Linked DNA regions of Xenopus tropicalis. The protein of the gene in region 1 purifies or fractionates together with the protein of each later gene. This does not show direct contact. Links are inferred from orthologs where the notes say so. Each region holds a gene or a part of one and is shown in the gene's direction. Other genes may lie near its edges. The genes, in order: prkag2, prkaa2 and prkaa1.

Evidence for each region.
Region 2: the proteins of prkag2 (region 1) and prkaa2 purify together in Homo sapiens (affinity purification with mass spectrometry; 5 studies listed by BioGRID and IntAct, counting the BioPlex papers as one, with this or other methods). This does not show direct contact. The link is inferred for Xenopus tropicalis from reciprocal best matches to the Homo sapiens genes PRKAG2 and PRKAA2.
Region 3: the proteins of prkag2 (region 1) and prkaa1 purify together in Homo sapiens (affinity purification with mass spectrometry; 8 studies listed by BioGRID and IntAct, counting the BioPlex papers as one, with this or other methods). This does not show direct contact. The link is inferred for Xenopus tropicalis from reciprocal best matches to the Homo sapiens genes PRKAG2 and PRKAA1.

Annotation. Positions count from the first base shown.
Region 1 is NC_030682.2:14,472,427-14,476,084, reverse strand, and holds part of prkag2 (5'-AMP-activated protein kinase subunit gamma-2), read left to right. Parts: intron 1-3,435; coding exon 3,436-3,545; intron 3,546-3,658. UniProt on the Homo sapiens protein: AMP/ATP-binding subunit of AMP-activated protein kinase (AMPK), an energy sensor protein kinase that plays a key role in regulating cellular energy metabolism.
Region 2 is NC_030680.2:87,563,195-87,566,852, reverse strand, and holds part of prkaa2 (5'-AMP-activated protein kinase catalytic subunit alpha-2), read left to right. Parts: intron 1-792; coding exon 793-919; intron 920-1,819; coding exon 1,820-2,055; 3' UTR 2,056-3,658. UniProt on the Homo sapiens protein: Catalytic subunit of AMP-activated protein kinase (AMPK), an energy sensor protein kinase that plays a key role in regulating cellular energy metabolism.
Region 3 is NC_030677.2:195,924,018-195,926,891, forward strand, and holds the end of prkaa1 (5'-AMP-activated protein kinase catalytic subunit alpha-1), read left to right. Parts: coding exon 1-111; intron 112-1,703; coding exon 1,704-1,948; 3' UTR 1,949-2,259; downstream 2,260-2,874. UniProt on the Homo sapiens protein: Catalytic subunit of AMP-activated protein kinase (AMPK), an energy sensor protein kinase that plays a key role in regulating cellular energy metabolism.

The DNA of each region.
Region 1 (3,658 bases):
GTTCTGGTTTGTAATTAGAGTAGGCCCATAGGTTATGCACACAAGGGTCTGCCAGGCATAAAATGCCAATAGCTTTACTATAATTCCCAGCATCCTTAGCCAGTCGGAACAGTCTCAGGGGCTGCTGGGATTTGCATCAGAGAAGAAAATCTGTCGGAATATTTGGAGCAGAAATGAAATGGGTGTCACTGAGAGACTTTTACTTAACAGATGGCGGAATCTGTCTCGGCGCGGTGATAGCGGCACAGCTTGCCTCTCGGTACACTGCATTCCCATTCCTCTGCTTCATCTGCTCATTAATAACCAGCCCGGGGATACAGCCACACACTCTCAGCCCCATATGGGTGCTCCGTGTTGGGCGCAGTAACGGTCTGGGCGCTTTGGACCCATGTTCTTCAAATAATGGCTTCATAGGGTTAAAGAAAAATTAAGACATATGAATGCTATCCAGAGGCTTAAGGGCTTACTTACGGGGCTACTAAGAACCAAAAAGGGAAATTAAATAGATTGTTTCCATCTGGCCAACCTCTGCTAATGTGCAGAACTCTTGGCAGCAACAGCCTTGTTCAATGTATTGGGTCACCGGCCAACCCAGAAATGCACTGGCCGCACTGGCCGCGCTCCCTGACCCAGACAATTTGTGGATGTGGGTAGTTAGCTTGTATACTGATCACCAGTGGGGACAGTTGGTCAGCGATGGCTATTGCCATTGCCAACTTCTTCTTGGATGGTTTGTTGCAGCTGTACAGAAATGGCCCCATCATCCAAATACATGGAGGCCCGTATTATCTGATCATTTCCTCTGTCTGAAACCCTCTGCTGCAGGGGATTAAACTGCAATGGCTGAATCCTCCTCTTTTTTAAAAATCACATTCCCATCAGTCCCTGCCCCAGTGAGCTTACAATCTAAGGTCCCTATCACATTCCCATCAGTCCCTGCCCCAGTGGAGCTTACAATCTAAGGCCCCTATCCCATTCCCATCAGTCCCTGCCCCAGTGGAGCTTACAATCTAAGGTCCCTATCACATTCCCATCAGCCCCTGCCCCAGTGGAGCTTACAATCTAAGGTCCCTATCACATTCCCATCAGTCCCTGCCCCAGTGAGCTTACAATCTAAGGCCCCTATCACATTCCCATCAGTCCCTGCCCCAGTGGAGCTTACAATCTAAGGTCCCTATCACATTCCCATCAGTCCCTGCCCCAGTGGAGCTTACAATCTAAGGTCCCTATCCCATTCCCATCAGTCCCTGCCCCAGTGAGCTTACAATCTAAGGTCCCTATCACATTCCCATCAGCCCCTGCCCCAGTGGAGCTTACAATCTAAGGTCCCTATCACATTCCCATCAGTCCCTGCCCCAGTGAGCTTACAATCTAAGGTCCCTATCACATTCCCATCAGTCCCTGCCCCAGTGGAGCTTACAATCTAAGGTCCCTATCACATTCCCATCAGTCCCTGCCCCAGTGGAGCTTACAATCTAAGGCCCCTATCACATTCCCATCAGTCCCTGCCCCAGTGAGCTTACAATCTAAGGTCCCTATCACATTCCCATCAGCCCCTGCCCCAGTGGAGCTTACAATCTAAGGTCCCTAAGGCATTGTCGGAAGTAATGCCATTCAAACACAAAGGGGGGGGGGGACGGGGAAATGAACGTGTTGCATCTTTTGCACAGGTGCCAGGTTGTGACTATATTGGACTATTGTGTGCAGGTTGCATTGGGTGCATCTTTGGGTACGCCTGAAATTATGGCGGGGATATAGCACTTTTTAGACATTTTCCCCCCTTCTCTTGCAGTCGGTGTAGCAGAGGGGGTTGTTCAGATGACACAGGACTGACAGGGCTCAGTTCTTATTGTCCCTGGGCCAAGGCTGGTGACTTTTAATGTCTAAGGATAATCAGTATAAAGTGGCTTTATGGCTAATGAGGGTTTGTGCATCCTGTACGGATCAGCATGTGCAAATGGATCCTTGGGCTTTCTGACTCTCTAACTCCCCGTATCAGCAGCTAGCCCTGTGCTGTATTCATGCAGAGACAGTACGGAGTGTTCCATTCCTGAGCACAGCATTATGGGAAGGGCAGGGGGGAAGCTACAGGGTAGAGGAGAGGGTCATTCGGCAGCACTATCCTTTATTTATATAGCACCAACATGTTCCATCAGCCCCTGCCCCAGTGGAGCTTACAATCTAAGGTCCCTATCACATTCCCATCAGTCCCTGCCCCAGTGGAGCTTACAATCTAAAGTCCCTATCACATTCCCATCAGTCCCTGCCCCAGTGGAGCTTACAATCTAAGGGCCCTATCACATTCCCATCAGTCCCTGCCCCAGTGGAGCTTACAATCTAAGGTCCCTATCACATTCCCATCAGTCCCTGCCCCAGTGGAGCTTACAATCTAAGGTCCCTATCACATTCCCATCAGTCCCTGCCCCAGTGAGCTTACAATCTAAGGTCCCTATCACATTCCCATCAGTCCCTGCCCCAGTGGAGCTTACAATCTAAGGTCCCTATCACATTCCCATCAGTCCCTGCCCCAGTGAGCTTACAATCTAAGGTCCCTATCACATTCCAATCAGTGCCTGCCCCAGTGGAGCTTACAATCTAAGGTCCCTATCACATTCCCATCAGTCCCTGCCCCAGTGAGCTTACAATCTAAGGTCCCTATCACATTCCCATCAGTCCCTGCCCCAGTGAGCTTACAATCTAAGGTCCCTATCACATTCCAATCAGTGCCTGCCCCAGTGGAGCTTACAATCTAAGGTCCCTATCACATTCCCATCAGTGCCTGCCCCAGTGAGCTTACAATCTAAGGTCCCTATCACATTCCCATCAGTGCCTGCCCCAGTGAGCTTACAATCTAAGGTCCCTATCACATTCCCATCAGCCCCTGCCCCAGTGAGCTTACAATCTAAGGTCCCTATCACATTCCCATCAGCCCCTGCCCCAGTGAGCTTACAATCTAAGGTCCCTATCACATTCCCATCAGTCCCTGCCCCAGTGAGCTTACAATCTAAGGTCCCTATCATATTCACACACACTTGAGGGGCAATTTTATCAGGAGCCAATTAACCTGCCTGTGTGTATTTGGAGTGTGAGTGTAACATTATGGATGACTACAGGTATTAAATATGAATTCATATTTTTACATTGTATGTACACAGTGCAACCCCTCTCATATTAATGTCAGAGCAGGAGCTGCCATATTGCTTGCCCACCTGATGTCAGCTTTGCATTTATTTGTTTTAAAGAACATTGAGAATGTTGTATATTAAGGTAGGCAATATGGCAGCCGCCTTTATGCTCTTGTGTGTCAAGGCTGAAAGTAGAAGAGAAAGCTTGCTCATAAAATAGATTTAATTTCCTGGGTGAAAACATATATTAGCCAAGGTTTGCTTCTAGAGTGACTAAATGCTAATACCCATGATGCTTTGTCTTTCGCAGCTGTTGAAGAATCAGAAAGTGACATATATACGCGCTTCATGAAATCCCACAAGTGTTACGACATTGTCCCAACCAGCTCCAAACTCGTTGTATTCGACACTACGTTACAAGTAAGTGCAGCCGCCCGTGTTTGCTCCATATTACCTATATTACAAGTATCCAGTTATAGTTAGGGACATACCATCCAGGATTCAGTTGGGTAGCTGGAAAGTCGGCCTCTCCC
Region 2 (3,658 bases), on another chromosome or scaffold:
TCATATCTGCACTGTGAAGGGCCAAGGGAGGAAAAAATGGTAAATATGGCCCATTGTGCTACACAGGTAACCTAATGCAGGTAAACTAATGCCTAATGACAAAGTTCCAGCCACGTATAAAGCCAGAGTGCTTCAGTTAAGCTGGCCATAGGTGCTTATATTTGATTGGACCAAGACTAATTTTGAGCATATTGCCCAACCATCTGGATGTACAGTATATGGCAGGTAGACAACCAGATCAGGGAAGCTCAGCTTAACACAGGAATGCTGTCTAACTGTCTGTAGGAAGAGTTAAGTCAAATACCTAATACCTAGTGCATTGTGTCCTGAGGCAGGAGCTGAGCAGCAGATTGTAGAACACTGTCGCAGAAGTGGTATATGGATTCGAAGATGGAACGAGCTTGTTGTGCGCAATCCCCCCCCCCCCCCCCCGCGTGCAAGCGTCCATCCTCGGGGGGGGGGGGTGCACACAACAAGCTCGTTCCATCTTCGAATCCATATACTCGAGTATAAGCCGAGGGTTAGTTTTTCAGCACATTTTTGGTGCTGAAAAACTCGGCTCATACTCGAGTATATACGGTATTTACCGTCAGGTGATCTCTGAGGGAAAAGATGGCAATGAGATAACAGATGTAAAAGTGAAATATTTACTGATATATATTCCAATTTGATAAGAGTCTTTATTAGGCCACTTAATATGATATAAATTATTTGTTGGTTAAGTATTCATTTAGGTGGTATAGTTTTCCTTTAAACAAAGCTGCGAGTCTAACCAAATCCTTGGTACCTTAGGTAGTTAACCCTTATCATCTCCGTGTGAGAAGAAAGAATCCAGTGACTGGTACTTATGTGAAAATGAGTCTGCAGCTCTACCAGGTTGATAATCGCAGTTACCTTTTGGACTTCAAAAGTATTGACGGTAAGACAGAAATCCCTTTTATAAAGGCCTAGTGATTCTTATTAGGACTGTGACAGCCTTTAGCTCTCCTGCTGTTACTTAACTGTAACTCCAACCAGCCCCTGACAACTTTCAGCCTTCAGTGGTTCCTGGGATTTGTAGTTCAGGAGCAACCAGAGTACTACTGGAGTCTTGTATCTTTATACATGAGTAAAGTAAATATGTTGTTGCGCAACAGATTTAGCAGCCAAGGAAAGGGTGCTGCATAGGTACCATAATGCTTTTATTTTTGCTCTTGAAACTATATTATGCAGGCACATGTGCACCATTTGTGTATAATAAAGGAAAACTTGCTATTCAGTTTTTATGTTGATAAACCTTTTACCCACAACTTTTTTAAGCAATTCCGGTAGCATACATTTTAAGTGATTATTTTAATCTAAGAGCATAAACTAAAGACAGGCTGGAGCAGGATCAGAAGCATAGGAGGGAGACAGCCAAAAAGAAGCCTCAGACAGGGAAACAAGGTGATAGACAGGGACAGTCAGAGGGTGACAGCAAGGAAGGGCACATTGACTGACAAGGCAGGGACTGACAGAGGAAAATAAAACAAGAAGCAAGATTCCAACAAAAGGGAGACAGATAAAATGTCAAGGACAGGCCAAGGTTAGGGTTTGTGGCCAGGAACAAACCATTATTCAGGACTGGAACAGGTGAGAAAACACACTCACTGAAGCAGTTAGAACCAAGGACAACACAGTGTGTTATATATATAAAACCCGCCACTTACTACATTAGGCCACAAGTAGGGCTAATCTCACAAAATTACACCCTTTGTTGGTCCTGACAACTGGTTTTAAAACCTTCCAATGTAATATACAGAGCAAACCGTTGTAATCATGTTGCAACTTTGTATTCCAGATGAAGTCATGGAACAAAAATCAGGTTCTTCAACCCCTCAACGTTCTTGCTCTGCAGCTGGCCTGCACAGACCACGCCTGAGTATTGACTCGAGCACATCAGACTATTCAGCGCCAAGTGGACCTCTGTTTGGCTCTTTCTCAGGCAGTTTTAGTTTAGTTAACCCTCGCTTGGGGAGCCATACCATGGATTTCTTTGAAATGTGTGCCAGTCTGATTACAACGCTGGCTCGTTAACAAGCAGTGAGAATTTGCACATTTTGTTAGAGAGCACTGTGAATATTTAATTGATGCTATTTTTTTTGCCTTGGGCATTGTGTACAGTGCAAGCTTTTAAGCACCTAGACACCACAAACCCTAAAAGAGCTGCTGTTTAATGTACCTTATCATTTGAATTATACTGCAGAATTGGAAGTGACATAGAACGATGCAGACTGATAATACTAAACAGCTTCTTTAGTTACTATTAGTGTGCTAACTTATTAATGAAAATGACATATTTATTTTGATATTATGGTAGTAGAGTTATGAAAAGCAGCTTTTATTTTTATAAGAATATTACTCTCATTTGACACAGATGAAATTGCCTTTTTTTAATTTACTGAATAGTATTTGTATTCTGCAAATAACAGAGGTTTAAGAAACGAAAGAAGCTATTTGAAGTAAACTTAATTTCATTAAGTAATGTTTATGTACTAAGCATCCATTCAGTAAAAGGTTACAAAGGCTGCTTTTGATGTATAACTCACTGTATCACTTTTTATGTTCTGCTTCGAGCGATTGCCACTTTTGTCTTGTTTTGATATGGTTATTCTGAAAAAGAATAATATAGGGAATGTGCAATGATACTGCAGTTGCAGGGTGTGCAATGGGTGCTGCTCTGCAATTCCAGGAGGTTCTTGGCCAGGAAGTGGAGGTTGGTTCAACAATGCAAGTAGGGTAGTTGCTTACAATTGAAAGTGTTTCACTGATCAGCAAGGGTCATTGTTTGCTTTTCTGCTCTTCCTTACGGAATTATATATATATACACCCTCCATGTCTAAGCTTTAATGTAATGTGAATTTATGTAGCAATTAGAGCACAAGAGGGTTTTTTCTCTCAGACCCAGCACGGCCAACCTACATCTCTCCAATAGTACAGCAACAAATGGCTGTAGGGGATGGTAAGAGTTCACCAGGTTACAATTCTATAGACAAAGCTTCCTTGTGCCAAGAGATGAAATGTTATGTGCATTGTTTTGTCACTGATATGTTATCTGTATATATTTTATATTTTTTTTGCAGGAATGTAGGATCACCAATCAAAATGCCATTATTTATTGTTCAAATAGAGCATTCTGCACTTTATATGTCTCACTATTGCTATTTAACACATCAAAGAGAAAATGAACTTTTATGATAGAAGAGAGAAATTCCACTGTACTGTCAACTCAGTTTGTTGCTGAACAAAAAATGATGATTTTATTAAGGATGCACCGAATCCACGGTCCTGGCCAAACCAAATCCGAATCCTAAAAATCACATGACTTTTTGTCATGGTAACACGGAAGTGGAAGTGCGCAGCTTCATTTAGCCCTTCCAAGTCCTAATTAGTATATGCTAATTCGGATTCGGTTCCGTATTCGGCTGAATCCCTTGCGGTGGATTCGGAGGTTCGGCCGAACCCTAAAAACTGGATTCCGTGCATCCCTAATTTGTATTGACATATATAGATAGGTAAACAACATGGTAAGGAATCAGTCTGACGTTATACCTGTTTTATTCTAAAAAGTATACTTGGAGCAGGTGTATCCAGTAAGGTTTAGTTTGTTTTTTTTCTGCAGTAAATGTCCCATCATGCT
Region 3 (2,874 bases), on another chromosome or scaffold:
ACCTGCGCGTAAGAAGGAAGAATCCCGTTACTAGCATGTACACTAAGATGAGCCTCCAGCTGTACCAAGTGGATAGCAGAACTTACCTGCTGGATTTCCGCAGCATTGACGGTATGTGACATTTCTGTGCTACTTTCGGAATAGTAATGCCAAATGTTTGGCTGCTGATGCCTTTTATGGTTTTTATTACCTTCTACCAGCCTGTCACAGAGGCAGTCGCAGCAATAAAACTCTGGGTTCCCATCATTTCCGTCAGTTGTTTATATTAATTACTTAAGGGCCTTTGTCTAAACCCAGAATGGCACTCTACCTCTGAAATTGTACTTCATGCAGTAGCTTATGTATTACCTCACTAACAGTAATGTTTGTTCACGTCAGTGTTAAAGGAGCCTCATGTCCTAGTATTATATTTTACCTTATTTTAAATGATTAGTGCCCCAGAAACATGGTTTTAAACTGTTTTTCTTAAAAATGCTATAATATTAGAGATGAAGTGAGACCTGGGCTTGCCCTTTCCTTCCTTCCCAGGATATGGTCATAACTGTGAGTGACAATCAGAACTTTGCTGCAGCAGCCCGAGTCCTGCCATTGTCTCTCTGCTCCCAGCCCTATCAAACTGTGTCAGAATGCTCCTGCTCACAGTGTTTAGTGGAGCTGCAACTTTCCTCCAAGCTGTAATTAAGATGGCCACACACAGCGCAGATTTTGGCTTCCTATTCAGATCCTTCATTCCTAGTGGCACCTTATCTGCCCATGTATGAGGCACTCTGTCTTGCTTATCCAGCAAAAATTGGGCACATATTCATCAGACGGGTTTAAAAAAATCTTGTTGGGGCGATGACCGTATCTGGTCATTGATGGGTGTCCTTGCCCCAATGGCCTGTATCCCCGACGTTAAACTAGCAGATCAGCCCCAGATCATTCAGTGTGTGGCCTGCTTTACTGTGTCCCAATATCAGCTGTTAGATCTCATTCCAGAACTTTTATTCGGCCATTTTCTGCTGTGTATAACAGCCTCCAACAGTAGTTCCTAGTATACTATTGTGTGGCCTGTCTGCTGCTAGCAGCAACTCCCTTCAACCTTACATTGAGCAAATTGCAATTTATATATTAAGTGGCCTTCAGCAATCACAGAAAACTTACCAGCTCTGAATAGAAGCAGTAGCATCTCCATTATAGGTGGACAGCTACCTTCTCATTATCCTATAGCGCAAATCTGCTCCCCCAGCTGAAACAATCGGGTTAAGGTGAAAGTGCTAAAAGAAAGGCACAATTAAATTTTTTTGCTTTTATTACTATTTAACAAAGCTGGAAGCAGGGAGACATTTAGGAGCAGAGGGACATGGACTACTATTGTAGCATTCTGCTCACCACATTATGATAATGGGAGTCTGAAGGTGAACATACATGGGCAGATTGAAGCTGCTGATTCGACCACTTCAGGCCAGGTTGGCATCTTATCTGCGCATGTATAGGACTCTCCAACAGGCATACCTGACCAGTATATGACCAAAAATCAGCCTGATATGTGGCAGGTGTGAAAATCCTGTAGGGGCCAGTTCATGGTCTCCTCCCACTCTAAAAATATACAGATTAATTGTCACTATATATCCTGCACTCTATAAATAACAGATAATTCTAGTAACAACATACATTTTACACCATAAATTGCTGGAAATAATTAAGCCTATTGTTCTTTTCAGATGAAGTAACTGAGGCCAAGTCGGAAAGCGCCACCCCTAGGCGATCAGGCTCCATTAGCAATTATCGACCTCCAAAAAATGACTCGGATCCTGAAATTCAAGCGAAGTCTTCAGACGGCTCAGGGCCTTCATCTTTAACCTCATCAGTGGACTCTTCCAATGCCGACCTAGTCCCCAGGCCAGGAAGCCATACCATAGAATTTTTTGAAATGTGTGCAAATTTAATAAAAATCCTTGCACGATAGGCCTCCGGCAACATAAGCGAATCCATATCGAGCAATAAGCATGCAGTGATCTGTAGCCAAATGCTTCCAGTCTCAATCCAGTTATGACCGACCAACAGCTGAAAGCTCTTGTCACAATGCAATTTGCACATACGATTCCAAGACTATGTTAGACCTCAATCCGTAGTGTGATCATTATTTTTAATAGTTCCTTGTCAACGCATATAAATTGTATATATTTTTCAGGTTGACAAAAGTTTTAATTGCACATTTTATCGAGCACTGGGCTACTTTGCATATTCCCAAGATAAACCTCAACATCTTGTCTTAAATTTGTTATTTTTTTTCTTGTCTTGTGAAATACATAGAAGTGATCACATGATAATTTAGTGGTTTAAGCATGCCGGCCATAATTCTGCAGCTTAAACTCCACTGGGATAGATCAGTCTGGTGAATAAGGGCAGTAAATGTGGATATCAAAAGGCAATTTGTACAAATATATAATAAAAAAAGGATTTTTTTTTTTTTTTTTTTAAGGATAAGGACTCATGTATGTACTTTATGGCTAGCTATTATTTACATGTAACTTTCACTAATATATGGGGACGTTAGAACAATCCATTGGCTGTTTATTGTTCCTAAGCTGTTTAGCTTCCTTTGCAACCTCAAAGCTAGAGGTCCAAGCCCTCGATGCTCTCCCATGGCTGATTTACAAATGACATAGCGCTTGGAATGTAATCTATATTACAAATTGGGATAATTGTCCCATTGCATAGAAAGTGGTCGGATCAGACTGGCCTACCAGTGGAGCTAGACCAGGGGTGGGCAAACTTAGGGTCAGGGGCCACATTGACTTTTAAAATTTGACAGACTGGTCGGGCCAGCACCTACATACAGTCTTGAAGCCAAGTCTCACGTGATGAGACTTGCGGAGTTGAGACAAAGCG